7 linked regions of the Cricetulus griseus genome follow. The protein of the gene in region 1 purifies or fractionates together with the protein of each later gene. This does not show direct contact. Links are inferred from orthologs where the notes say so. Each region holds a gene or a part of one and is shown in the gene's direction. Other genes may lie near its edges. The genes, in order: Vapa, Ptpn12, Rassf3, Vps13a, Akap11, Osbpl9 and Lsg1.

Region 1 (4,142 bases):
GAGTTTTTGGTCTGTCTTATTTTTTTTTTTAACACACCAAGTAAGGAGTGTCATTCCTTAAAGTTCTTTACAATCTATTATCAGTGTTTGCTTTGTACCACTATTATGTATCCTAGACACCCAGAGTGGCATTAAAAACTTCTCAGCTGAAAAGGGGCAGTGCACTGAAAAAGTCTTAAGCAGCTGTGGTACCCTCAGGGGTGGGGACGACCCATTCCAACCCTGGCGTCCTGGGGAGTCTAGGGTGCTTCTTGTCGCCTGGAGCTTCCTTAGAGATTTAAATGCAGGCAGCACCACAGGGCGCAGCAAAGGTTTATTTATCTGTGCATGTTTTACAGCGCATCCATTTGTTGTGTTTGCTCCTCCTGCCAGCCTCTCTGCTGCCTGGCCTGCTTCTCCTCGCGCACAGGCTCTGTCTCCTCAGGGGAGGCGGCCGGCACGCTGGGGGCCCGCCCGCTCGCCCGCTCGCCCCTGCCCGCGGGCTCCCGTTTGCTTTGGGGCGGGGTGCGCGTTTCTAGGTCCGGCTCTGCTCGGTTGCGGGTAGACGAGGGAGGGAGGAGGCCGGCTTGGAACCCCGGGAGGCCCGAGATGGAGGGCCCCGCCGCCTTCCCACCGGGACGCGGGCCCGCGGAACCCTTCTCCTCCTCTCCCAGGGCCGACGAGACGCCCCGGGGCCAGCCCGAAGCCAGCGACCCCGCCCGCCCGCAACGGACCGGACCGCCGCCTCCTTCCCCGCTCCCAGCAGCCCCCGCGCGCAGGCCCCGCCCTCCCGCCGCCCGGAGCATGCCGGGAGCCGAGGGCCGCGGCGCCTTCCTGACGGCCTCTCGTTCGGAATTCCGCTCGGAACGCCGTGAGGCCCCCGCGTCGTGGGCGCGCCAGCTCGGCACTCCGCGCTCGCAGCTCCCGGGCACCGGGAACGACGCTTCTCGGCCGGGCGCCCCGCCCGCCCCGCCCCGCCCCGCCCCGCCCCGCCACGACTGACAGCCGCACGGCGCCGGGAGCCGCAGCCCGGGCCGGGCCCGCGCAGGCGCATTAGCCCCGCCTCGTCCCGGTCAGGCCCGGAGGGCGGGCCGGCGCGCGGCTCCGGGCCGCGGCGGCGCGCACGTCGGCGCGTCCAGCCCGTCACGTGTGGGGAGCCGAGGCCGGCAGTGCGCGCGCGCGGCCGCGGCGGCTGGTGTGGGGTTGAGTCGGTTGTGACACCCGGAGCTGCTGGCGCGACAGGCGGCCCTCGGAACCCGCGGCCCCGGCGGCAGCAGGCGCGGAGCTTCGGCAGTCCCGTCGTGAGCCTGGCCCCGTCCTAGGGCCCCGCCGGCGCCGCCCGCCGCTCGCCGCCCGCCGCCCCCGCCCGCCGCCGCCAGCGAACCGCCGCCGCCGCCGCCGCCGCCGCGGGCGCGCGCGCCGCCGCTCTGCGCTGTCTCCGATGGCGTCCGCCTCCGGGGCCATGGCGAAGCACGAGCAGATCCTGATCCTCGAGCCGCCCTCCGACCTCAAATTCAAAGGTGAGCCGGCTGGGACGCGCCCGAGCGGGGCCCGGGCCGGGGCCGGGCGGGGGCCGGGGTCGGCGGGCGGGCGGGCGAGCGTCTGGGCGAGGGAGCGAGCGAGCGGGCGGGGCGGCGGCGGCGAGGCCGGGTCGGTCGGGCCGCGCTCCCCTCCCCCACGCCCGCGCCTAGCGTCGGCCCCGCTGCGTCCTCGGCCGGCGCCTCGCTCTCCGCCGCCGCCCGCCCGCTCGCTCGCTCGGGCTGCGGAGGGAGGGGAGGGAGCCAGGGCGCTGCGGAGGGCTCAGCCCGGCGCCGCCGCGCGCCGTCGCCATCTTGCAGCCCGCGGGGCGCCGCGGGGAACCCGCCCGCGCCTTGCTCGCCCACCACCCGCCGCCGCGCCGGCGTCCCTTGCCCCCGGGCGTTGCGGGCGGCGGCGGGAGCTGCAGCTTCGCTCGGCGTCTGCGGGCGGCCGTCGGTGGCCACGGGCGAGGCGCGCAGGGCCGGGCGGGGCGGGCGCGGGCCTGGCCCCGGGTCTCCCGGGTCAGGTGCGGGGCTCGGGGGCGCCCCAGGCCCCCAGCGCTGTCGGGCTGGGACTGACCCCGGGCGCTGGCAGGGCCCCAAGCGCGCGGCGGGAGGCTGCGTGTGCGTCAGCTCGGGGTTTGCAGCGCTCTAGGTCGCGGGTAGCGGGTCCCCGGTGTCACCCGGGCTCCCAGCCCCGGGGTGCGGGGAGGGCGGGGGAGCACGCCGTCTTTTTTTTTTTTTTGCCGAGGGGTTCGTTCTCGGTGTCGGCGACTCGAGCGTTTGCGGTTTCCCAGCATACCCCGAGAAAGCTGATAAGGTGCCACGCCGCGCCGGGGCTGCTGACGGTGGAGCACGGACGGTTCAGATCCAGGGCCCTGGGCGTCTCCGTGTGTGTGTGGGTTTGTGGGCTACGTAGCGGGGAGAGAAGCTTGAACCGTACAGCGTACTAATTTTTAAGGTTTCCTGATAGGATGTGGAGCTAAAAGGACCTGCTCCTCCCTCTCTTTAGCTAATACCTGGGGTTTTAATTTTAGGAACTGTGATGAGAACGATTTCCCTTGGGTTGTTGCATGGCAGTTCTAGTATTAAAAGAAACAGTGAGTCCATGATTGTGTAAGATTGAGTCCGAATGAAAATAGCTGGATTGTCCCCGTGGGAACCATTTTTAAATTATATTTTAAATAGTTTAGGACTTACAAAGATTTTGATGTTTTGCTAGCAGTACTTCCTACACTGCAGGTGTTCGGTGCATTTACAGGTTTCTCTGAATGGAGACTTACAGGATTCCTCATTTGACAAGAGCTTGATTTTTTAAGGCAGGGCTAATTAATACCTTTGAAACTAGGGGTGGTCAACCACGCTTCTAATCCCGGCGTTTTGGAGGCCAGCCAGGAACCATGGAACGTTTGAAACAAGACTGGGTTACATAGACACTAGACAGTGCCTCAGAACCTCAGATACTTTGCGTACATTTTGCTGCAGCAAATTTCTGTTGCCTGATTTTTGGAAGGGGGTTGGGTGGGGGTATGCAGAGAAGTCCTTCAAGTGTTTGTACTAAAGTAGTCATCATTAGTTGAAGCGATTTAATGTAAATCTTCATGATGCTGTAGTTTGCTTTCCCCTTTGACAGTTCACGAGGAAATTTTCTGAACTGCATAGCCTGTGTGAAAAGCATTTTAGGAGGCAGGTTTTAAAAACCAGAAGAAATAGTGCATTGTGCTTTATCCACTCGTTTCTTTCTGACGTTAAATAATTCCAACAGGCTATTGTGTTATCAAAATAACAATCCAAGACTAGTGAGGGAGACCAAAAAGATGATATAAATGGTGTTTGAGGAAAGCAGCTTTTCTCCGAAGGAATGAATCTTTTAAGGGAAAAGGTTCTTGTGAAGCGGCCGGGGGCTGGGGAGAGTTATGCAAAGGGAGGGGTAAATACTGAGGAGAGGAGACTTCAGACTTAAAGTGCAGGTCCTTGTAAAGGTGGGCCAAGCAGAGACGATAGGGAGAGGGCGAAGTAGGAGTGTGACATTTGGGGTTTGGCGCTTTCCTCCTTAACGTTACTTTGTCAGTCACAGATTACTCTGTACAATGGAGACGTCTGTCTTTAAATGCACAGCTCTACACTAGTAGGGTGATTTAGGATCCAAGTGTGCATCCTTTGGTGACTATATCAGAAATTATTTAACTGATTTTTTTTTTTCATTTAGTGTAGGTTGTTTACGCTTTTTCCTTTGCAAAATTCTTTGATTATTTGGTAGGTTTATTTGAATTATTTGGATTCAACATTTATGTTGTGATGGTACCTTCAGGAGTGACTCATTCAACCATTCTGAGATTGACAGTTCTCCTTTAACATGAGTAATGACTTGATAAGAGTTATTACTATTCACGATTTTGGAAAAGCAGGTATATTTTTTTGTGTGTATCTCCATCTTAGTAAAATTTTAACTAGCAAAATGTAGAAAACCTTTTATGGTTGTAGAATGAATTCTGAAGCATACCTTTTAGTGCTTTTGTGCATAAAAAGATCGTAAAACATTTTTTTTGACCCTACCAGCAATTTGACTAGTAATTTAGATTTGAAATTAGATGTTTCATGGAAAAAGCTTTTTTGTCCTTAAAGTTTAATGTATTACAAAATTTG
Region 2 (4,195 bases), on another chromosome or scaffold:
AAAAAAAAAAAGGAAAGATACAAAAAGTGTAGGGAATAGAAAGATTTGGAAGGACACACCTGCAAGGACATAATTCTGAGAGAAATGTATTGGCATATATTAGGTGCATTATTTTCTGTATTTTATTTTAATATGTAATTGTATATTGCTACTCACATCTGTTGTCAACTTTTTCAAACTAAAGTTCATGGTGCTGCCAAACATTAGTTCAGGAAATGTATCCTGCATTGATACTCCCTATCTTAACTCCCTATCTTTCCTGGCAACCTGCTCTGTGAAAACATGTTGTTTGTGCTTGTAGGGGACCAAAGTCAGTCTATGGATCGAATCCCAGTTGTGCAACATTACCACCACAAAATCTCGTCCCTTCGAGAGGCAGTGTGTGCGGCTCAGAGTCAAAGGAGAGGGACTTGCGCTCTAGTTCTGAGTCTACACGAATATGCCGGGGGTGGGGGTGTACTTTGGGGAAAATCACTTTATTTGTGAAAGGACAGATTATTTCAGCGTCCTCTCTGATGGGAGTCACAGAGGCTCTTCTGCGGACGAAGGAAGATATATCGTCTCCCACTTGGCCAACAGGGTTCCTTCCGTGCATGTGATGTCAAGGAAGCACTCTGCAAGCTTTGGCTCACACTGGGGTTAAAATGGATTTGCAAACAGAAGGCCTGGGGTGCGCTTCACCACGCCTCATTCAGTTAGGGGAGCACCCACGGGCAGAGGCGGCGGGGACTCTACTACAGTTCCCAGCATACTTCGGTCCCACCCAGCGGGCGGCGGCAGTCAGGCCGGGCAGGCGGGGTCCTGCAAGCGGGTGAGCGGGCGAGCGGGCGAGCGGGCGCGCTGGGGTCCGCTCTCCCTCCGCCAGGGGAGCGCCAGGCCCCTCGGAAGTTCACCGTGTGACCCACCCGGATCGCCCCGCTTGCCGATGCAGAGCGCCCCCCCATCAGGGACACGCCCCGGAAGCTGCTTCCAGCCAATCAGCGCGGAGCAGCGGGCGGGCTGGGCGGGGCGTGCGCTCGGCGCGCGCGCGTCTGGGTGGCGGCCGGCGCGGCGGGGCGCCGGGGGAAAGCGGCTGCGGCTGCCTGCCGCGGGGGTGGGGGAGGAAGGACCGGAAGGGGGCAGGGCGAGCGGAGAGCCGCGTTCCTCAGGCGGCGGCGGCGGCGGCGTCTGGGGCCGGGAGGGCGGGGACGGAGGATGGGGCAGGCAAGGGGCCGGGGCCGGCGCTAGCCTGCGGCTTGCCCGTAGACTGCAGAGCCGCGCCGCCGCCGCTCCTCGTCAAGTTGCGCGGGGAGCCGGCCGGGGCCCCCGCAGCCGCACCGCCGGGCGCGGCGGGGACAGAAGGAGCAAGAGAGAGAGAGGGAGAGGGAGGGAGGGTGAGACAGGGAGGGAGGGCGGACGGGCCGGAGCGAGCTGGGGAAGACGGAGCGGGCGCTGCTGCGGCGCGCGGGCGGACGGCGGGGGGGACGCGGGAGGATGGAGCAAGTGGAGATCCTGCGGAGGTTCATCCAGAGGGTGCAGGCCATGAAGAGTCCGGACCACAATGGGGAGGACAACTTCGCCCGGGACTTCATGGTGAGTGTCCGCCTCGCCCTCGCCCTCACCGTCGCCTCGTGTCGCTCGCCCGCCCGCCCCGAATCTCGCCCGGCCGGCCCGAGCTGCCAGCGCTTTGTGTGCGGGTCGCGCGCCCAGCTAGCAGCGAGCGCAATGGGCGAGCTTGCTGGAGGCGAGGTCGCCCCCGCCCCTCAGCCTCCTTCTTCCGCGGCCCGGGCTGCGCTCGTCCGCCCGCCCGCCCGCCCGCCGGGAGCGGAGGGAGCGGTCGGGGCCCAGCCCGCCCCGGCCCCGGCCCCGCCAACACCTATTGTCTCCCGGGCGGGTGAGCGTGCAAGCGGGCTCTCCTTCCCACGACTGCCTTCCTCCCCACCCGCCGGCCCCCGGAGGGTCGAGACGAAGCGGCCGGCCCCCGGTCCGAACAGACGGACGTGCGGTGTGCGAGGAGGTCACGGTTATTGTCACCGCTCGCCCAGGGTCGTCCGTGAGACAGGCAGACAAGACAGACAGGCGTGTGTCTCGCGGTTCACCTGACCGGCGTCCGTCTGTCCCGCACAGTCTTTTCCCGAGAGCTGGGTTGAAGGTGGCTGTGGGGCTCGGATGACTTTAGGTCCGGTCGGGTCGGGGTTGGGGTCGGGGTGGGGGTCGGTGTGCACGGGGCTGCCCTGAAGGAAGCTGGCTGCGGACCGGAGGGGATGTGACTACCGCTTCCTACCCGGGGTGGGGGCGGGGAGCCGGGAACAATGGTCCTGCTGGGGTGGAGGCGACTCCAGGGGCCGGAGCCCCGGACCGGGACATGATACCCTTCCCCTTCCCGCCGAGGGCCCTGGGTCACGGGGGTGAGATCGCTGCGGTGCGTCATGGATGGGGGTGTCAGTCCCCAAGGCTGAGACTTCCTACGCCACCCCTCCCGCTCCGTGTATTTTCCTGCCTGCCGGACAATGTTCCCTCTAGGGTTGTTTCCCGGCTCAGGAGGCGGCGGTGGCGGCGGCGGCGGCTGCTCCTGCGGATGTTGCGCAAGACTGGGGCGTTGGGAACCCTGGAGGTCTGGGGCATGGAAAAGGAAATGGGACTTGGGAAGTCCGGGGCTGGGAAATGAGCTAGGAAAAAAAAAAAAAAGTACTCCTAGACAAGGTGCACTTGGAAGGAATATATATATATAATATATATATATATATATATATATATATATATATATATTATATGTAGTTAAGTCTGAAATAATGGTTAGGAAAAGTTGAGGTCTGTAGAAACGAGTGGGCACGGAACGTGGTTGCCGCTTTTTATTTCAAAACGCAGGTGAGGTCACACAAGTAGGTTTTGTCTACTAAGACTTCAGCGTTAAAGTTGTCACGGTATTGATAGTATTATGCAGCTTTATGGTTTCCACCTCCGATTTATAAAAACAGAAAGTAGGACCAAGACTTTGTTTAATATATGGTGACGACTGAAAAGGGTAGATCATATAATCCAGTTATCCTGTATTTTAAACTTTTTGTTATTTAGGTAGTGTTTGGAAAAGGGACTTTTGATCTATAAAGGTTAAAGTATAATTTCCCCTTTCTACCATCAAGAATTTTAAATGATGTCGTTTACAAAATTGGATAGTCTTTTTACTACCCTATAGGAAATGTAGAAGAAAACAGTTTATTTAGGATGTTTAAAACTGATGGCCCTCAGCCTTTCTTGATTATGGAAGGGACCATGTGGTCCCTGGCTGCTCATCGTTTGCATGCTTGTCACCTTGCTGTTCATGGACATACTCTTCAAGGAGCACTGTGTGTGGTGATGTAGGCCGTTCTTGCTTTGGAGCTGAGTCGGGGATTTCTATTGAAGATGTCATTTCACAAGGACCAAATCTGTTCCTATTCCATAATACCAAAGTATAGCTAGGTAATTCTATTCTTTTATAGTGCTTGCTTTTTTTATTTCCTGGCTTGATAAGCAACAGCTATAATTAAGACTGTTGGCAGTTGAGTGCTTTTTTTTCCCTTGACTAGAAGGCTGGAAAGGAACTATCCTCTGTCATGGAAAGAGAATCAAAGATAATCCGATAAATTCTGACTGGTTATTCTTACGTTCTGATGTGGATAAAAACTCCATTTTAAAATCGTAATATTGTATAGCAGAGTCTTAGAAGGTATTATCACTGTTACAGCTGTTTCTATAAAGTAATGAGGGGCAGGAGCTGATCTCACTTTGAATCCAGGCTGTGCTTGAACCTGTGGTAGCCCTGCCCCAGCCTCCCTAATACTGAGATTAAATGTCTGAGCCCACTATACCTGTGTTACATTCTTGTCTTTGGGGGTTTTTTAACTTAGATTTTGGTGTCTTTTATTAATTACAACCACTTTCTAGGAATAACTTAAGTAGCTGTGTCACTATGTGACTGTTAAACAGTTTAACCATTTGCTTATAGTTGACTGTTTAGTCTATTGTATTTTCTATTAAATACTTTGATAAATATGAATAAAGCCTGTGCATTGTTTATTGCCTAGTATCTCTGTACAGGAAGTACTAAGTCTGGATACAACATTTACATATGTTTACAACTTTAAAAAAGTTACTTTATACAGCCATTCATCAGTAATGTATAAGTATATATATTGTAATTGTTTAATTATATTGATTTATTTAACCGCTTAGA
Region 3 (3,500 bases), on another chromosome or scaffold:
AGGGCTTTGGGCTCATGTTGTTTGGTGGAGATATTCTCATTGTTTTTAAAGGGGTTAAGATCTCCCACCCCCAGCCCCCACAGAAGTTTTCCATCTTTCTGACAGGAGGGACAGAATTGTAACCACATTTGAGGCAAGTTCCTATTTTATTTTATTATTGTAACTCATTTCCTCCTCATCAAGGCATGGTGCATACTGGGCAGTTTGTTCACTGTGGGCCCTTGGTGTTAGGGTGAGAGAATGGTGATGTAGAGGTTTAGGTGTGGACTGTTGCTGTGATGTCAGGATGGGGTGTGGGGGTGTGGACTGTTGCTGTGATGTCAGGTTGGGTGTGGGGGTGTGGGTGGTGTGGATTGTTGCTGTGATGTCAGGATGGGGTGGGGGTGTGTGGACTGTTGCTGTGATGTCAGGATGGGGTGTGGGGGTGTGGGTGGTGTGGATTGTTGCTGTGATGTCAGGATGGGGGGTGGGGGTGTGGACTGTTCATGTGATGTCAGGATGGGGTGTGGGGGTGTGGACTGTTGCTGTGATGTCAGGATGGGGATTTGGGGGGGCACTGTCTCAGAATCACTGGCAACCTCTGTTAAATGCTCTTTGTCGTCTTTCCTAGTGTATGCCTGCAAGCTCTCCGACCGGGAACACCCACTCTACCTGCGTTTGGTAGCAGGACCCAGAACCGACACGCTTAGTTTTGTTCTTCGAGAACATGAAATTGGAGAGGTAAGAGAGGAACTGTTCACAAAGGCATCAAACTACACAGAACAGCCGGCCTGCTGTATTGCCTCAAGGAGGTGGGGCGAGAGGGAGCAGGGTGGGGTGAGATTTTTGAATCGTCTGAAATGAACCCACGTTAGCGTACAACATAATTCTCTTAGGACATTATATTGCTGTGTCCTCCTTAGGAGCCAGAGGACATAGCAGTTCTTACTCATTGCTATGCAAAGAGCAATTGTCACCTCTTCCCAGCCCCACATGACTGATCCAGCTGGGCCTCCCCTCTACATCTGCTCCTAAGACTCCAGGCCAGTCTCCTTCTACAGGGAAATAAAGGAAATCTGCTTCCCTCTTCAACCAGCCCAGGACCCGGGAGTTCTGTTTGCAAGAGCATCCCTGTCTCTCCAGGGACAATGTACTGGGGTGTCCACAGAGAAGCATTTCAGGCTGCGCTGTACATCATCTGGAGCTCTCAGTGGTCCTGGACAAACTCTCCAGGCCATGGCCCCAGACGTCAGAAGTGTGAATTGTCCGTGAAGCTGGGAGAACAGGCGTGCTGGCTTAGACATCAGGAGACAAACACTATGCTTAGATGAGGGGGATAAGACCTGAGGCTAATTTTCTAATTATTCTAGCCTTCCCCTCAAAGTGATCTATAAAGTGATACTAAATACTTCCTTTAAAATTATTATTATTATTATTATTTATTATTATTAGCGGAGTGGTGGTATCACGTGTCTTTAATCCCAGTACTCGGGAGGCAGAGGCAGGCGGATCTCTATGAGTTCAAGGCCAGCCTGGTCTACAGAGTGAGTTCCAGGATAGCCAGGACTGTTGGACAGAGAAACTCTGAATTGAAAACCTGTGTGTGTGTGTGTGCATCCATACATATAGATAGACGGTGATGATGATGATGATGATGTGTGTGTGTGTGTGTGTGTGTGTGTGTGTATGTATGTATGTATGTATGTATGTATGTGTGTGTGTGTATGTATGTGTTTGTGGGCATGTGTACCATAGCATACATACACGTAGAGATCGGAGGACAGCCAGGAGATGTTTCCCTTCCACATTTAGGTGGGTCCTGGGGTGGAACTCAGATCACCAGGTTTGTGAAGCTAGTTGGTGCTTTAAAAGAAAAAAAAAAAAGCTTGTTTTAATTATATTTTATTGTTTTGTGTGGATGTGTGCTCATGCACTTGGCACGGCACATATTTGGAGGTCAGAGGACAACTTGCAGTAGTCCGTTCTCTCTGACATGTGTGTCGTCAAGCCTGACAAGAGATAGTATTACCCACTGATGCACCTCACGGTCCTCTCCTACCTTGTGTGTGTGCACATCTGTGCGTGCAATGTAGCGCCTGCGTGTGTGTGCTCATGCGTGCGTGTGTGCATGCAATATCGCATCTGACGTGGGGGGGTGCTCTTAGGAACTAGAACTTCGAGTAGTGAGACACACCCAGCTGCCATGCAGGGCAGATGTAGGTGAGGAGACACTAAACAAGGACTGTCATCAGTCATTGCTTAGTGGCAAAATGAGAGCCTTGCATGGGAAGGGAGGGTAGAAGATCCTTCCCTGAAAAGCTTCTCAGGAAGGTAGATGCTCTCTGAGAAGGGTGAGCAGGAAATTGCTAGGCAAAGCAAAGCAGGGCTCTGTGTGTGTGTGTGTGTGTGTGTGTGTGTGTGTGTGTGTGTGTGTGTGTGTGTGTGTGTAAAAGAAACAGGGGACTTAAGAGACACCCCCCCCATCTCAAATGTGATAAGGGAGACCATGTGAGGTCCTAAATGGAGTTCAGTTTGTCACTGATGGAAATTTGGATGAAAAAGTGCTCATTTGCAGTCTTGGCTTTAGGGATAACCAGTGTTAATAGAACCGGCCATGGTAAGATAATAGGAGAAACAGACCGAAGGCTTAGTGACTAAGCCTTAGAGCATGCCCTAAGCCAGTTGGGGTACTGAGTATGGGACTGGGGAGGTACAACATTGCTTCGTGTGAACATTCAGTGGGTGCCAACTGTATGCTTTTAACCATGAGTGCTTGCCACGGCTGTGTGTGTAGGAGTGCCAGGGGTGGTTGGAGAGGGCAGGAGTAGACCGAGAAGGCTGGTGCTGGGATACAGGTTGGGTGAGAAAGCAGATGGACTCCGGAACTGTCAGGAGTTGATGAGATTGTGGGCAGGGAAGAAGGCAAGACCTCGACTCCAGGTGCAGATGCGGGGAGCCGATGTCTCTCTGGAGCGTTATAGTTGCTGAGGGCAGCCGTAGTCCCCACTTCATTATTATAGACAGTGTTCTGCAGGGCTTGGTGCCACATGCTGTAAAAGCAGCGCTCAGAAGGCTGAGGCGGGAGGGCCCTGAGTTCAAGACCAGACTGTGCTGCATAGCAGAACCTTTGTCTCTGTGGAGTGGGGGTTGAGGGGGAACTGAAGTAATCGTGTCCGGGCTCTGAGCTAACATGGCGTATTCCTCTCTGTCCCCCGCAGTGGGAAGCCTTCAGCCTCCCAGAGCTGCAGAACTTCCTGCGTATCTTGGACAAAGAAGAAGATGAACAGCTGCAGAGCCTGAAGCGGCGCTATACGGCCTACAGGCAGAAGCTGGAGGAAGCCCTGGGCGAGGTGTGGAAGCCCGGCTAAGGCCAAGGGCGTCCTGCCAGGATGGCACAGCTCGGGACCTATGAAAGAGCGCCGCCGCCGCTTCCTCTGCTCAGAGAGCTGTTGTCGTGCCCCGCCATGCTAGGGTCTTCCTCTTTTCTCTCTAGACACAGTTCTCAAAGCCTGGTCACACAG
Region 4 (3,500 bases), on another chromosome or scaffold:
GATACGAAAAATTATTCCTACGATTAGAATTTGAATCAAGAAATGTGTTTGACATAAGAGTCACTTTGAATTGAACTACTTGTAACTATTGTCCCTGTATCTTTCCACCATTGTTTATTACTAATAATTAAGGCAGATTACCCACTCTTAGTGTTACAGTTCCATAGAGAAGTTATTCCCCCAAAGTCACACCTAATGTTTGTCCAGGAATTATTAAAAGATAATTGAGATTTTGCATTTAGAGTAAAAGGAAAGGTACAGATGAAGGTATATAATGAGATATCATTAGATCTTTGAAGAGATTTGGGTCTTTGTGTTAGAATGAGACCCTTAGGAAACTTCCAACATGGTGAAATATCACTTGGCAGAGAAGTGACAATCAAGGGTCTAGTGGTTACAGTTCTGCTTTCCATCATTAGGAAAAAGTTCATTTATAATCTCAGAATTTCCTAGTGATTATTTATACTTATTATTTTTCTTAGTGCTTTGCAGTTTTAGCTTTTCCTATAATATTGGCCTTTTCACACTTATTTTACTGTATGTAAAAAGTACGATAGACTTTTGGTAAAAAAAATGACGTACTAAGAGCTTCCTATGTTTTTCAAATATTTAAGCATATTTTTTAAATGTTAAGGTAGGTTTGTGTTTGTGTGTGTACATATGTACACTCCTTATCTATTGACATGTGATTACATGTGCTGCCTAGGGACCCTGCCAGTAAAAACATGTCAGCATTAAAGCTCTAAAATTCTTAGAGTCAAGTGATGTTTCATGGGAATTGTCAATACATAAAAAAAAAAAAAAAAAAAAACCCACGACTCTCAAAGGGAATAGGAGATAGTTTATTGTAGAGCCAAACTTTCTTTTTATAGCAAATAATAGTGTATTGATTCACTTATAAGTATGATTATTTACTTTTAAATGTTATTATCTATTACGAGGAAAGACTTTAAGTGGAAACATTTTAGCTTAAATATCAGTTTAATAATATTTTGTATTTTATAGGTTTTACAGCCTTGTGACTTATTTTATCAGGCTACTCAGATTGGAACAGATCCACAAATGATTGACATATCAGTAAAATCTCTTACACTAAAGGTAAGCTAAAAACATAAACATTTAAAACTGATTTGATGGTAGATCTGTCTTAGCTGCTCAAGGGGCTAAAGTATAAGAATCATAAGTTCCAGGCCTGCCTGAAGTACAGACCACTGAGGTGTAAGCCAGCCTGGGCAATTTAGTAAGATCCCGTCTAACCGTTACCATTACCACCAGAAAAAAGACTGAGCTCAATGGTAAAGCACTTCTGTAGGCATTCACAGGGCCCAAGTTAGAATCCCTGTCTCACAAAATGAATAATTATTTGGATATATATATATATGAAAAGTTTCTAAGATATTGTTGTAAATTTTATGATGAATGCTATAGTTTATTGACATACGACTTTTGTAGCGGATATCTAGGATATATATAATTGTAGTCATATTTAGTTGGTTAATAAAAACAATATTTACAAATACTTTGACAAATTTATCTAAAAATTTTTGTAGTAAAAAATTATGGTAGGCAAAAAATAAAAAAAAAAAATTATCTATTGTCCTGTAGTGCTTTTCTAGTTTGGCCTTAATTCTTCATGTTCATTCAGCAAATATATGTAATCCATTTTAAAATTGTTTTTTCTATTTAGGTTTCACCGGTTATCATAAATACCATAATAACTATTACTTCTGTGCTTTATACAACTAAAGAAACCATCCCAGAAGAAAAGACTTCTTCTATAGCACATTTATGGGACAAGAAGGATACTAAGAATCTGAAAATGTGGTTTCTAGAGGAATCAAATGAAACAGAAAAAGTAGTTCCCACAAGTGAATTGATGCCAGGAGGAGAGACACTGAACTTGAATATTGATTCTATTTTCATAGTTCTCGAAGCTGGAATTGGTCATAGAACAGTGCCGATGCTATTGGCAAAGTCACGCCTTTTGGGGGAAAGCAAAAACTGGAGTACTTTAATAAATCTCCACATTCAGCTTGAGCTGGAAGTAAGTGTGTATATAATTTTTCAGGTTTAAGATGCTTCACACAGAATATTCTGGGATCTTATATCACTATTTAAATTTAGTTTATTGTAAATACTGATACTGGCTTTATACCTTTTAGAAGAAAGCTTACACATTTATGCCCTTGAGCGGTTGCTTATATATTACTTTAAATTTCAAATTACATACCCATGCTTTATGTTTCAGCTGATTTTTACAAACCTCCAAGGTGGTACATTAGGGTCTAGAGAGACAGCCTAGTATGTATGTGTAACAAGAGGTTCTTTGTCTCGCAGATCCTGCTACCCTTGAGCCCCACAATAAACACACAGAGACATGTATTAATTATGAAACTGTTGGCTGATGACTAGGGCTTCTTATTGACTAGCTCTGTCTTAATTATTAACCCATTTCTATAATTCTAAGTATTTCCATGTGGTCTTGGCTTACTGGAGAATGTCCAGACCTGTTTCTCCTCTTTTGGTGGCTACATGGCGACTGTGCCTACCTACCTTTCCAAGAATTCTCCTCTTCTCCTAGTCTTGCCTATTTTCCTGCCTATTGGCCAACAATGTTTTATTCATCAACCAATAAGATCATCAACCAATAAGAGAAACATATATACAGAAGGACATCCCCCATCATTTAGGGGCTTCTTGATCTTCCAGAAACCAGAATCTGTTCCCAGAGTCCATATCAGGCAGCTCACAACTGCCTGCAACTCTGCCCTATCTCTCTGGGAATCTAACTCCCTCTTTGGACCTCTGGGCACAGGCACACACATGACAGACAGTCAAACACATATATGCATATATAAAATTAAAAATTCTGATTTTTAAGATCTAAAATTGATTTTTTTTCCTTTGGAAAGGTAGATTAAATTTATGAATACCTGAGTAAGCTCTTTCAAGTTTTAAAGAGTCTCTAATGAGGATGTTCTTGAAGTGTATAGTTGCTTAGAATGTGTGAGACATTATACTCAAATCCCAAACTTTCCCAAAATTTTAAAGAGGAAAAAAAAGAATCAGAGTAAACATGTTTTCCTCAGAATTTATAAAATTATTTCCATGGATATTTCAGATAAAATTAATTTAAGAAAGAGACTGGGAATATAGGTTAGTAATAGGATGTATACCTAATGTGTGTATAGCACTAATTTTAATACCAGTACTGCAGAAACAGAAGAAAGTCTATACAATCTTCTCCAATGATACTTAAATAAAATTATTGTTCTTGATATTTTTTGAAAAGCAATCTGGTTATCTACCTTAAAAGAGTGAGAGTTGATATTTAAAAGTTTCTATTTTTACATGAAATGATAAAGAATTATGTACTAACACAATTGTAATTGATTTTGACTACTGCACATTTTCAAATTGTGTTTAGAATTATGTGTATTTTGTACAGGACTTTATCTGAGGCATCCAAGAAGTGCCAGGCATTCAAACACTAAAATTGT
Region 5 (3,500 bases), on another chromosome or scaffold:
ATCAGTTTCAGAACCCTGGACCCAAAGGAGTCTCTACAGGTCACCCAGTGCTTCAGATAAAGGCAGGGACACACAGGAGATACTCTTTCCTTCTTCTCCTGCCCACTCCTCAGAGTCTGAGTGCTCAAGCCCAAGTCCTGTAATTTTTTTGGATGAAGAGGGATACCAAAAAAGTTTAAAAGCAAAACTTGAACTGCCTGAAATCCCTGTGACAAAAGATGATATAGAGGATTCAGACTCAGAAGTGAGTGAGTTTTTTGATAGCTTTGATCAGTTTGATGAACTAGAGCAAACTTTAGAGACTTCTTGTCCATTTATGAAAGATCCTGATATAGAGAAGTCATTGCAGAAGATTGGGCACAAACATGAAAAATCTTGTATGAATCCTCAGAAATTCAAGTTTGAGCGTCCAGCTCTTCCAGCTAATGTTAGAAAGCCAACTCCACGAAAACCCGAGTCTCCATATGGACACCTGTGTGATGCTCCAGATTCCCCTCGTCCAGTGATGGCATCAGAAGACAGTGGCTTGTTTAGCCCTATTCGAGCCTCTGCTTTTAGTCCTCCTGGAAGCTGTACTCCTGCTGAATGTTTTTGCCAAACAGATATTGGTAGAGATAGGAGCTATGAAAACCAGGATCCTATTTATTGCACTTATGAAGATTATGCAAATAATCTTTCACATGAAGTACTAGGCTCAGTTCTTCATACTCAGTGTGTAAATGCAATGTCTGATACTAATAGTATTAAAAGGGGAGAAGATTATCCTGTCGCTTTTAAGCACGGGAACTCTGATCAAAAAAGTAAATATAAAAACAAATCTTCAGTGATTACAGACAGCGTTCAGAAGTTTGCAGCAGATCTTGTAGGAAGAAGTTTTGGCAATGCATTTAAAGACTTACAGAAAGGAGTTTCCTCATGTACCAATGCATTGTGCCACTTTGCTGTCAAATTGACATCATCTGTTTTTCAGATGGCATTTAACGAACTTAGAAGGCAGTGTGCATTTTCACTGAAAGAACGAGCCATTGGTAGCCTGGCAAGTCTTTTGGTTAGTGAAGCCTTATCAAATGCCTTGAAAGATTTGCAGTACGTGAAAAAGCAGATGTTTACAAACACAGTTGCTAGGTTTGCCGCGGACCTTGCAGAAGAGCTTGTTTTTGAAGGCATCATGGAAGTGTGTCAGTTTTCATGTCCTCCAACACCTGCATCAAAGTGTCCATCATTTGACTTTGAAGACAAAGTCGTGAAGTCATATGCCAAAGATTTGTCTGAATCTGTAATACAAGAAGCATTCATAGAGCTGTCACAGACTGATGTGACCTTCACAACAAAGGCAGCAGTTAATGTTTCAATGGGTAATGTTAATTATGCGAGTGCAGAAAGTGGAGTGCTGCCTACACAGACCTTCACATTTTCCTCATCCTTCAGCAGTCAAGCAATTATGACAAAGCCAGTGCAGGAACATAAGAAGGAATATACAGTGCAGCAGGCCTTGTTTTGTACTTCTGGAATTGTCACTTCCATACCAGTACCTTTGGCAGGTAGTGCTCTTCTCCCGTATCATATTTCATCTACTTTGTATCAGTCTAGGTCTCATCCATCATCTGAGCATAGTAAAGCAAATGATGGTTCTACCCAAGAGCACATCACCACAGAAAGCAGTGAAGAGGAAGTGGATTGTCTCAGAGACATTGTTCTACCATCAGAACTCAATCCATGTAACCAGAATGACTTCAAACCTACCAACGGTGATACTGACATACAGAGTCCTTCAAAAATAACTAGTGGCTCTATGATTATTAGCAACTTTTCGGCAGCAATGGTACATTCAATAGTCAGTGAAACCTTAGAGTCCATGACAACCTTCAAAACTACAAAAACTGTTGATGCACATTCAGATTATTTAACTAAAACAAAGGAAAAAGTCTGTCCTCCTTCCATTTGTGACCAAGTAGCACCACAACAGAGCAAAGCTAGCAGTAAGGACATGTTTGCTGAGCAGTTATCTAAGTCAATTATTAAACATTCCCTGGATAAAAGCAAATCAATGCTTCCAAATATAGATAACAAAACAGTTAGTACGGAACTTGTGCCTATTCTTGGGGAAGAATCTCAGTTGATCTTGGAGGAATCTCCCAAATTTCTTGGCTTTACAGATCACTTACCTCACTGTTCACTCTTGGCCGGAAAGCATTGTGTTCCAGAATGTAAAGATTCTGTGGGGTTTGGATTTTCTTTAGAGTCACTGCCACCTTGCTCAATGATGTCAAGTCAGAAATCTGACTTGAAGGAACTTGTGAAGGATAAACCAGTGAAAAGGCATAATTTGAATAATACTACACTTGAACCCTTGTCTTTTGGGCTGGAAAGCTCTTTCCGTCACTCACATGCTTTATCATCTGCAGTGCTCACCTGTGTAGATGGTTTGCATGTAGAAGACAAACAGAAAATCAGAGACAGAAATGTAATACCTGATACTCCTCCATCAACTCCTTTAGTACCATCCCAGACTAGTTCTGAATGGGACATAAAAAAGTTAACCAAAAAGCTCAAGGGGGAGTTAGCCAAAGAATTTGCACCTGCAACACCACCTTCTACACCTCACAACTCCTCTGCTGGCAGTTTGTCTGAGAATGAACAAAATCCTATAGAAAAAGAAGAGTTCATGTTGAAGCTTATGCGATCTCTTTCAGAAGAAGTTGACAGCAGTGAAGGTGAAGAGCACCCAGAAATGGATGTGAAGTCAGAGTGCTCAGGAAAGAAAGTACACTTTGCAGAAGCATTAGCTACCCACATCATTTCTCTTGCAACTGAAATGGCAGCCTCCCAGTTAGATCATGAAATCACTCAAGAATCCAAGGCTCAGAATCCTCACTTGAATGTGCAGAGTCAAAGAAGTGTGTTGTCTGCTTCTTTAAATCATTCTGATGCAAACATGCAGACATGCAGTTTTGCAAGTGTTTTGGCAGCTGATGTCATTGCAGAGGCCGAGAAAATTGCAAACGCTAGAAGTTGTATGCTTTTCAGGCAGGAGAAGAGCAATTGTCATGTTGATGTTGACCGTGATAGAGCAGAAGAGAAGCTGGATATGGAGGATGTTGCGTATCCAAGAGAAATAGACCCGTTTGTTCTTTCATTACCAAGTTGTGTGCCAGGTCTGACATACAGGTATCCCAGTTGTGAAAGTGTGACTGATGAGTATGCAGGTCATGTTATCCAAGTGCTGAAACAGGAAGGTGGCAATGGTGAACTACTCATGGACCAGTATGCCAGTAGACTGGCCTATCGATCTGTCAAGTCTGGAGTGCAAGAAGCAGCTAAGACAGTAAAAAGGAAGTGCAGTTCAAAAATGTTCCCTTTGCACAGCTCTGATGTGAAAATAAGCAAGGAACTGTTGACCTCAAATAAAGAGCATTGTCAGGAAGTAGATAAAAGACAAAGAAGAAGAAATGGCAGCCATCTTTGTAACTACCAACCTTGTGAAAGGACACGGGATCCAT
Region 6 (4,271 bases), about 410 Mb from region 1:
GCTGGACTGAAGCCTGTCAGTCATTATATACATTTATATGTATATATGTATGTACACACACACACACACACACACACACACACACACACACACATTCCATATGTTCTGCTACTCTAAAGAACTTTGATTATTATAGCAGGGGTGGAGCGCTTGCCTGGCATGTATGAAGCTGTATGTTTAATTCTCAGTCCTTACTGGGTTCTTTTCCTTTACAGTACAAAAAAAAAGTATATGGTTATTTTTGCCTGCATGTATGTCTGTGTACCACATGTGAGCCTGGGGCCATGAAGGCCAGAAGAGGATTTTGTATCCCTGGAACTGGAATTACAGATAGTTTTTAGCCTTCATTTAGGTGCTCGGAATCTGACTTGGGTCCCCTGGAAGAGCAGCCAGTACTCTGAGCCATCTCCCAATCAATCACTGCATTCTTAAAAAAAAGAATTCTTGCTCTGGGTCGTGGTGGTGCATGCCTTTAATCGCAGCATTCAGGAGGCAGATCTCTGAGTTTGAGGGCAGCCTGGTCTGCAGAGTGAGTTCCAGGACAGCCAGAGCTACACAGAAAAACCCTGTCCCAGAAAACCAAACCAAACCAAATGAACAAACAAAAAAACAAGAAGAATATTTTTAGTTGACACTTGCCTTTAATCCCAGCACTTGGGACGCAGAGGTAGGCAGATCTCTGTGAGTTCAAGACCAGCCTGGTCTACAGAGTGATTTCCAGAACAGTCAGGACTACAAAGAGATTCTATGTCAAAGAAAACAAAAAGTTCTTATGTGAATAATCTTAAAGAATGTCTTATGTAGTCCATATTACTCTTGAACTCATTATGCAGCCAAAGATGAGCTTGAACTAAAAAAAAAAGATTTATTTTTAATTATATGTACTTTTAGCATGTGCGTCTCCGTGGGATAGTGATATTTGCATGCAAGTGAAGGTGACCTCAGTTCCAATGGCCTGGAGTTTATAGGCAGTTCTGAGCACCCCCCACCCCTCGTGTGGGTGCTGGGAACAGAATTCGGATCCTCTGCAAGAGCGGTACTTGCTCTTAAACCGCAGTGCCTCGATTCTGCTTTTGAGATTACGGTTCTTCCTTCCTTCTTCCCTCCCTCCCCATTTCCTCTCTCCCTCCCTTCCTCTTCCTTCTTTCCTTCTTCCCTCCCTCCCTTCTTTTTCTTTTTTTTTGGAGACAGCCTTACTTAGCTGAGTTGGCTTTGAACTACTGACACCATCGCGCACGGCTTGGAAACATAATATTCACGCTTGCTTTCTTAGCTCGCTCTCCCCCATAACAACCCGCTCTACACACAATAGGCAAAGAGAGAAAGAAAGCATGCTTGACTGTGATTGCTAGGGGCGTGGGTCCACCGGCTGCAGGAGGCCCCGCCCCTGACCCCGCCCACCCAAGTCCCGGTCCCGCCTAGGCTCTCCGGGGCCCCGCCCCCTGCATGGCGAATGCCTTATAGGCGACTGACGTCAGGCCGTTTGTTGTCATTGGCGGCTCCCAAGATGGCGTCTATCGTGGAAGGGCCGCTGAGCAAATGGACTAACGTGATGAAGGGCTGGCAGTACCGTTGGTTCGTACTGGACTACAATGCAGGGCTGCTCTCCTATTACACGGTGAGTGGCTGAGGCCGCGCGGCTGGAACGGCGGGCTACGGGGAGCCGGGACGGGGGTGCTCCGCTGTGGGGACCGCCGTACGCGAGGTTCCCTTGTGGAGGAGGGCTTTGCGTGCGGGTAGCCAATGACCAGGAGGGAGATGCGGACCCAGCCAGTGAGCAGCGCCGGCTGGCTGATTCATGGGCCGGGGGGCGAGCCGGGTGCCTCAGGGAGTGGTACCGGGGCAAGGTGGGGTCTGCGCGGTGGCGAGGTGCGGGTGGGCGTAGCCCCGGTGCTGCTTGTCAGCCGTGCGATCCACACTTTCATCCCGTTGCCTCCCTGCTGGACACCGGCCGCACCCCTTAGTTCCTCCGGGGTTCGAAGAGCGCTGCCTTCTCGCAGCAGTGGTCAGACGAGCCTGGCCAGGTCCAAAGGTGACCCTCGTCAACAGCACGGGCTCTCAAGTCCCTCCCGTCTGTCCAGCTCCGCAGTCCTACATACTCTGGGGATGCACCCTTCTTCTTTCCAGCGGGGCGCGAGTGTAACGGACTCTTAACTTTTGAGAGCAGAGGATTCCCTCTGCGCGAGTCTTGGCTCTGGTTGCGGAGATGTAGACAGGGATGGTGCGGTTGCCTTGAAAGTTGTGTTCTGGGGAGGGCCGACTATGCGCTTTGACTGACTGTTGTTGGCAGGAGTCCGTGGCCCTGGGTAGGTAGATGAAGTGCTGTGAAACCTGTGTTCTGACTGCCTCTTCCACCCCCAACGCATTAGGGATGGAAGGTGGATGGTGTTAGAGAAATTACTAACGGGGCTACTTCTTTGTATAGTTAATGATCGCCTCTGAGAAAAAGAAAAGCACTCAGGAGGACAAAATATAGAATGTCTTGAAGGCTTTAGAAAATGATAGAAGAAAAAGGAAGAAATACAGTTATGGGAGAAGGGTTAGTGTTGATGAGAGAAATAGGGATACATAGTTTATTCATTCATTTAAAAATATCATTGAGTTTCTGTTCTGCTTGTTCCCATGTCCTCAAGAATCAACAGCGGTGTAGGCACTGCCTGTCTTCTCGAGAGCTTTTAGTGTAGTCTAGTGGGCACCTTAATTCATTTACTTGTAATTCATTTGCAAGATAGGTATTCATTATCCCCATTTACTGTCCCTATTTTACAGTTTTGGAATCCGAGGCTTCAGGCTTTTAAGTAATTAGCTCAAGATCACATAGGTAGCTATAAATGGTGGAGGCAGGATTCCCATCAAGTTATTCTTTTGCTACAGGAAGGGAGAAAAGTAAATGCTGCAAGTCATTAAGGTGGGCCTGCAAGAGTAAAAGAGCATTGCCTTTGTCATTCTTCCGATGTGAACTTCTTGTCTCTGCATCATCATCACCATCATTATTTTGGTTTTTCCAGACAGGGTTTCTCTGTGTAAGCTTGTCCTGGAACTCACTCTGTGGACCAGGCTGTCCTCAAACCCACATAACTCTGCTTCCCAAGTACTGGGATTAAAGGCGTGTGCCACCACTGCCCTGCTATTATTTTCATTTGTTTTGGAGCCCCGGGTCTTGAACATGCTAGGACAACACTTTACCACTGACCCAAAATTCCTAGCCCCCCTTTCTACATTAGTTTTAAAAGATCAAACTTTACTGAGACATAAACATTGCTCAGAGTTGAATATAGTGACCCATATATGTAACCTCCTAATTTCCACGTTTTGGATTGCAAATTTTAAGGCTAAGCCAGGCTAGGGTACTTAATGAGACCTTGTCTCAAAAAACAAACAAAAGCAAAAACAAAAAAACCTCAAACCAAAACCACTCAAAAGCAAACACACACACACACACACACACACACACACACACACACACACACACACACCACATTGTTTAAGATTATATAGGATGGAAAACTGAAGAATTATGAAATCCTATGACTCAAAGAATAATATCAAGTGAATGTGATTATCCAGCAAATTCCATGGAACCTAGCCATCGTATTCATGATGAAGTAATTTCAATTAGTGGCACTTTAGAATTAAGTTCCTCTTCAAATTTGTGTGTGTCTGAATCTAGGGCCATCCTGCAGAGGTCCCAAGTTAGGGCTCTAGGGAGCTCCTAGCCCCGACAAAATGTTCCTTTTCCTTGTTTTCTTCCCCCCACCTCTATCCCTCTCCCCTTCTTCTCCTCCTTCCTCCCTCCCTGTCTCTCTTGTCTTCTTGTCCTTGTAGATTTGGAGTGCTTGGACTTCTTGTCCTTCTGACTAAATAGAAGTTTTTCATAGACTTCTTTTTTCTTCCTTAGTACTGCCCTCCCTTCTGAGATTAGATTCTATGAAACATCCTTGCTAGGGGAAGGATGGATCATATTTCTCACTAATGGCTGTTTAGAAACATTTCTCCTCCATGCTTCTGTTATTTGCTTTCAGAGAAGTGTACTAGCTTGTGAGAATAAAATGATAGCCCAAAGGAGAGTAAGAGTCCAGTTGAATTCGGGCATCTAGTTCTGTCATTGTTTTAGTACATCAGACAAATTAAATCAAATCCAACAGAGCAGCTGTCAGTTAGTGACGATGCCTCTGTGTGTTCCCACTTCCAGACACTTGCCAGTTTCTGGGTACGCTCCATGAGGAAGAAGGCTCTGACTCTTATTCATATACATCTTTCTTATTTGCAAA
Region 7 (3,500 bases), on another chromosome or scaffold:
GAATCGGGTGGGTTAACAGTAGTGTAGGTTACAAGAGTGCAGGCTCTTACTTAGTGTTGTGATGGTTTGATATGGGTAGCAGACTGCAGCCCTTGCTCAAGGTGAAGAGGATTGTTGCTGAAGATGTTAGCTTTGAAATAGAGCCTTCACTTGCCACTTCAGGAGGAAGTGCAGCTGCCTCCTTGTGTTCTCTTCTCATGCATGCAGTCTAGATGGTGACTGAACGGTGAAACAGGAACTGCTCCAGCAGCCCGAGGGTTAGAGCCCAAGAGCACACATCTCTCTATTATTACCAGTTCACCCAAGATCACTTGATTTTTTTAATTTGATATAGTCACTAATAATGAACATTAACACATATCTATATAAATTACAACCATAATAGTATGATGGTTCTAAATGGAAGGAATGTCTTTTGCTAAATCTTTGCCTCTACTCCTATTAGCTTAAAACTATTCTACATATGTAAAATGAGGAGACTGTTACATGGAATCTTTATAATCCTTTCCCATTGTCACTGTTTCTATTTCCTTGAAATCCACTCACCTCATAGGATTTTATAATGTGGTACCCAATGAAGTCTTAGTGTTTGGGGGGTTTTAGTGAGTTAGTGAAGATCTTTCTCTTGTAAAGTTATCTCTATAGAAAAATTAATGTAAAAATTAACCTAAGAAGGTATAAATTCTGTTTTAGGAAGTAGTTAGTATTCAAACTTATCAAAATGATCAGCATTTAGTACTCTAAAAGACCTGTTTTGGATTTTGAGTCAGACTCTCATGTAGCCCAGGCTAGCCTCAAACTCAATTTGATTTCCTAAACTCCTGATCCTCCTGCCTCCACTCCCAAGTGCTGGGATTGCAGGTGGGTACCACTACACCCAGTCACCCAGTGCCAGGGGTGGAACTCAGGGCTCATGCTTACTAGGCAGGCACTGTAGCATCTGATACATCCTCAGCCTCCGGATTGCATCTTGACAAATAGCATTTTTCTTTCCTTGAATAGAGAAGCTTAATATCAAGTTCGTGCTCCCTGAGGCTAGATCTGGACTGCTGTCTTTTGAGGAGAGCCAGAGAATTAAGAAACTCCATGAGGAAAACAGACAGTTCTTGTCTATACCGAGGAGGTAAGTTGAACAAGAATTAAGATCATTAGAGGACATAGAATGGGCCAGGTGGTAGTGGCACACACCTTTAATCCCAGCAGTTGGGAGGCAGAGGCAGGTAGATTTCCAAGTTCAAGGTCAGACAGGGCTACACAGAGAAATCTTGTCTTGAAATCACTTCTTTCCTCTACACCACCCCCTCCCTCAAAAAAAAAAGAAGACAGAGAATGGGGCTGGAGAGATGATGGCTCAGAGGTTAAGAGCACTGGCTGTTCTTCCAGAGGTCCTGAGTTCAATTCCCAGCAACCACATGGTGGCTCACAACCATCTGTAATGAGATCTGGTGCCCTCTTCTGGTGTGCAAGCATACATGCAGGCAGAATATTGTATACATAATAAATAAAGGACTAGATTACATGGCAGCTCTCAGCTGTCTGTAATTCCAGTTCTGGGGCATGTGATGTTTCTGCAGGCACAAACAGTCATACACATAAAATAATAAAAAAAATTATTAGTTGTTCATAATTTTCCTGCTTCTCAGCTGCCATTTACATCCAAATTCTCTTTTTATTTTGGTAATTTATATATAATTTTTTTCCTTTCTGTGATTATTTCAGACCCAATTGGGACAGAAAAACTAGTCCAGAAGAACTGAAACAGGCAGAGAAAGATAACTTCCTAAAATGGAGACGTCAGCTTGTCCGGTGAGTACTGGACTCTGAAGATTTGCCTGGAAGCCCTGGGTTTAGGCATTTCAGCTTGCATTGCCATTTGCCTCCTGAAGTTTTGATTCTTTTAAAGGGTAATACTGGGGCTGGTGAGATTGCTCCACAGGTAGAAGTACCTGCCGGCAAGCTCTGATTTAAGTTCAGTTCTCAAGACCCACATGGCAGAAGGAAAGAACCAACTCCCCCAAGTTGTCCATTGGCCTCTAAACATGCAAGCTAAATAAATAAATAAAATGCAATTTCAGGTGTGGGGAGGGTGGTAGTGTCTATTACAGGTGAGTTTGGGAGTGTGTGTGTGTGTGTGTATGTATGTATGTATGAATGTATGTATGTATGTATGTATGTATGTGTATAGACAGCATTGCTGGGTGCAGGTGCAGCTGTGCACAAAGGTGTTTGGTGGTTATTCTGCTCTATTCCTAGTCTTTTCTTATTATTTATTTTATGTGTGTGTGTTTGAGAGAGAGAGTGTGTGTGTGTGTGCGCATGTGTGTGCGCGCGCTCGCGCACCATGTGCTCACATTGCCAGCAGGGGTCAGAAGATCAGGGGCCATCAGATCCCCTGCGACTAGAGTATGAGTGATGTAATGTGCTATGTGGGTGCTCTGCAAGAGCAGCAGTGCTCTTACTGTAGGTTAAATTCCAATTGTTCTCAATAATAAAAACCCAGAGACAGATTACTGCGTTAAAGCTGAAGATCAGAGAAGCAAAGCAGTCAGCCATTAGGGAGTTCTCACCTCTCCCAATGCCCCTTTTAGTTCCCTTCTGTGGCCCAGAGGTACTCCTCTGAGCATTCTTCTATAAAAGTTGTGGGAGAGGAACTCCTGCGGTGTAAGGATAAAATCTGAATTTGTGGAATATAATATGACTAAGTTTTATTCTTGTATTGACTCAACAATGGGTATATGAAAATAATTGGATGGAGCCTGGTCAGGTGGTGTAGGCCTGTAATTTCAGCTACTCAGAAGGCTGAGAAGGAAGATTGCAAATTCTCAAAGCCTTCCTAAGCTACAAAAAAAAGTAAAAGACTGGCTAGGATGTGACTAAATGGTAGAGCACTTGCCTGGCAAGGACAATAAACAATAATAATAATAATTTATAGTATTTGGATATGTAGCTTCTCAATGTATTGAATTTGAGTGTTTATAATTCTTTAAAAACTATTTTGATGAGACAGAGATGTAACCTTCTCATTCTAAAGCCAGGCTAGAAGAGGAACAAAAGTTGATATTGACTCCCTTTGAACGAAATTTGGACTTTTGGCGCCAGCTCTGGAGGGTCATTGAGAGAAGGTAAGTAATGTTTCCCTTGTTTAATGAAGACATTTCAGTGTTGTTACTGAGCCTAATGTTGACTATGCTCCCGGCTCTGGAGAAATTTTAAAAATAACTCCTGGAAATACAGGCCTGGAGAGATGACTTGGCAGTTAAAAGCTCTTACGACTCTTGCAGAGGATTCACGTTTGGTTCCTAACCCCCACATTAGATAACTCACAACCACTTATAACTCCAGTTCCAGGGATCTGGCCTCCGCTGGCACCTGTATATACTCACATAGACACTTAAATTATAGTGTTTATTTTTTAGGTCTGAGGGGTAGTTGAGTTGTTAGAACACTTACTTAGCATGTGTAACATCCTAGGTTCATACTTCAGTGCAGGGATAGATGAA

Evidence for each region.
Region 2: the proteins of Vapa (region 1) and Ptpn12 purify together in Homo sapiens (affinity purification with mass spectrometry; 3 studies listed by BioGRID and IntAct, counting the BioPlex papers as one, with this or other methods). This does not show direct contact. The link is inferred for Cricetulus griseus from reciprocal best matches to the Homo sapiens genes VAPA and PTPN12.
Region 3: the proteins of Vapa (region 1) and Rassf3 purify together in Homo sapiens (co-immunoprecipitation; 3 studies listed by BioGRID and IntAct, with this or other methods). This does not show direct contact. The link is inferred for Cricetulus griseus from reciprocal best matches to the Homo sapiens genes VAPA and RASSF3.
Region 4: the proteins of Vapa (region 1) and Vps13a purify together in Homo sapiens (co-immunoprecipitation; 3 studies listed by BioGRID and IntAct, counting the BioPlex papers as one, with this or other methods). This does not show direct contact. The link is inferred for Cricetulus griseus from reciprocal best matches to the Homo sapiens genes VAPA and VPS13A.
Region 5: the proteins of Vapa (region 1) and Akap11 purify together in Homo sapiens (co-immunoprecipitation; 3 studies listed by BioGRID and IntAct, counting the BioPlex papers as one, with this or other methods). This does not show direct contact. The link is inferred for Cricetulus griseus from reciprocal best matches to the Homo sapiens genes VAPA and AKAP11.
Region 6: the proteins of Vapa (region 1) and Osbpl9 purify together in Homo sapiens (co-immunoprecipitation; 5 studies listed by BioGRID and IntAct, counting the BioPlex papers as one, with this or other methods). This does not show direct contact. The link is inferred for Cricetulus griseus from reciprocal best matches to the Homo sapiens genes VAPA and OSBPL9.
Region 7: the proteins of Vapa (region 1) and Lsg1 purify together in Homo sapiens (co-immunoprecipitation; 4 studies listed by BioGRID and IntAct, counting the BioPlex papers as one, with this or other methods). This does not show direct contact. The link is inferred for Cricetulus griseus from reciprocal best matches to the Homo sapiens genes VAPA and LSG1.

The regions. Positions count from the first base shown.
Region 1 is NC_048595.1:454,567,821-454,571,962, reverse strand, and holds the start of Vapa (vesicle-associated membrane protein-associated protein A), read left to right. Parts: upstream 1-1,342; 5' UTR 1,343-1,420; coding exon 1,421-1,499; intron 1,500-4,142. UniProt on the Homo sapiens protein: Endoplasmic reticulum (ER)-anchored protein that mediates the formation of contact sites between the ER and endosomes via interaction with FFAT motif-containing proteins such as STARD3 or WDR44.
Region 2 is NW_023276806.1:173,416,284-173,420,478, forward strand, and holds the start of Ptpn12 (tyrosine-protein phosphatase non-receptor type 12), read left to right. Parts: upstream 1-1,395; 5' UTR 1,396-1,473; coding exon 1,474-1,572; intron 1,573-4,195. UniProt on the Homo sapiens protein: Dephosphorylates a range of proteins, and thereby regulates cellular signaling cascades. Dephosphorylates cellular tyrosine kinases, such as ERBB2 and PTK2B/PYK2, and thereby regulates signaling via ERBB2 and PTK2B/PYK2.
Region 3 is NW_023276806.1:135,460,596-135,464,095, forward strand, and holds part of Rassf3 (ras association domain-containing protein 3), read left to right. Parts: intron 1-610; coding exon 611-720; intron 721-3,197; coding exon 3,198-3,347; 3' UTR 3,348-3,500.
Region 4 is NC_048596.1:44,422,956-44,426,455, forward strand, and holds part of Vps13a (vacuolar protein sorting-associated protein 13A), read left to right. Parts: intron 1-1,005; coding exon 1,006-1,098; intron 1,099-1,687; coding exon 1,688-2,044; intron 2,045-3,500. UniProt on the Homo sapiens protein: Mediates the transfer of lipids between membranes at organelle contact sites. Binds phospholipids. Required for the formation or stabilization of ER-mitochondria contact sites which enable transfer of lipids between the ER and mitochondria.
Region 5 is NW_023276807.1:232,869,898-232,873,397, reverse strand, and holds part of Akap11 (A-kinase anchor protein 11), read left to right. Parts: coding exon 1-3,500. UniProt on the Homo sapiens protein: Binds to type II regulatory subunits of protein kinase A and anchors/targets them.
Region 6 is NC_048595.1:40,620,708-40,624,978, forward strand, and holds the start of Osbpl9 (oxysterol-binding protein-related protein 9), read left to right. Parts: upstream 1-1,471; 5' UTR 1,472-1,507; coding exon 1,508-1,618; intron 1,619-4,271. UniProt on the Homo sapiens protein: Interacts with OSBPL11 to function as lipid transfer proteins.
Region 7 is NC_048597.1:58,872,325-58,875,824, forward strand, and holds part of Lsg1 (large subunit GTPase 1 homolog), read left to right. Parts: intron 1-1,002; coding exon 1,003-1,123; intron 1,124-1,719; coding exon 1,720-1,806; intron 1,807-3,035; coding exon 3,036-3,122; intron 3,123-3,500. UniProt on the Homo sapiens protein: Functions as a GTPase. May act by mediating the release of NMD3 from the 60S ribosomal subunit after export into the cytoplasm during the 60S ribosomal subunit maturation.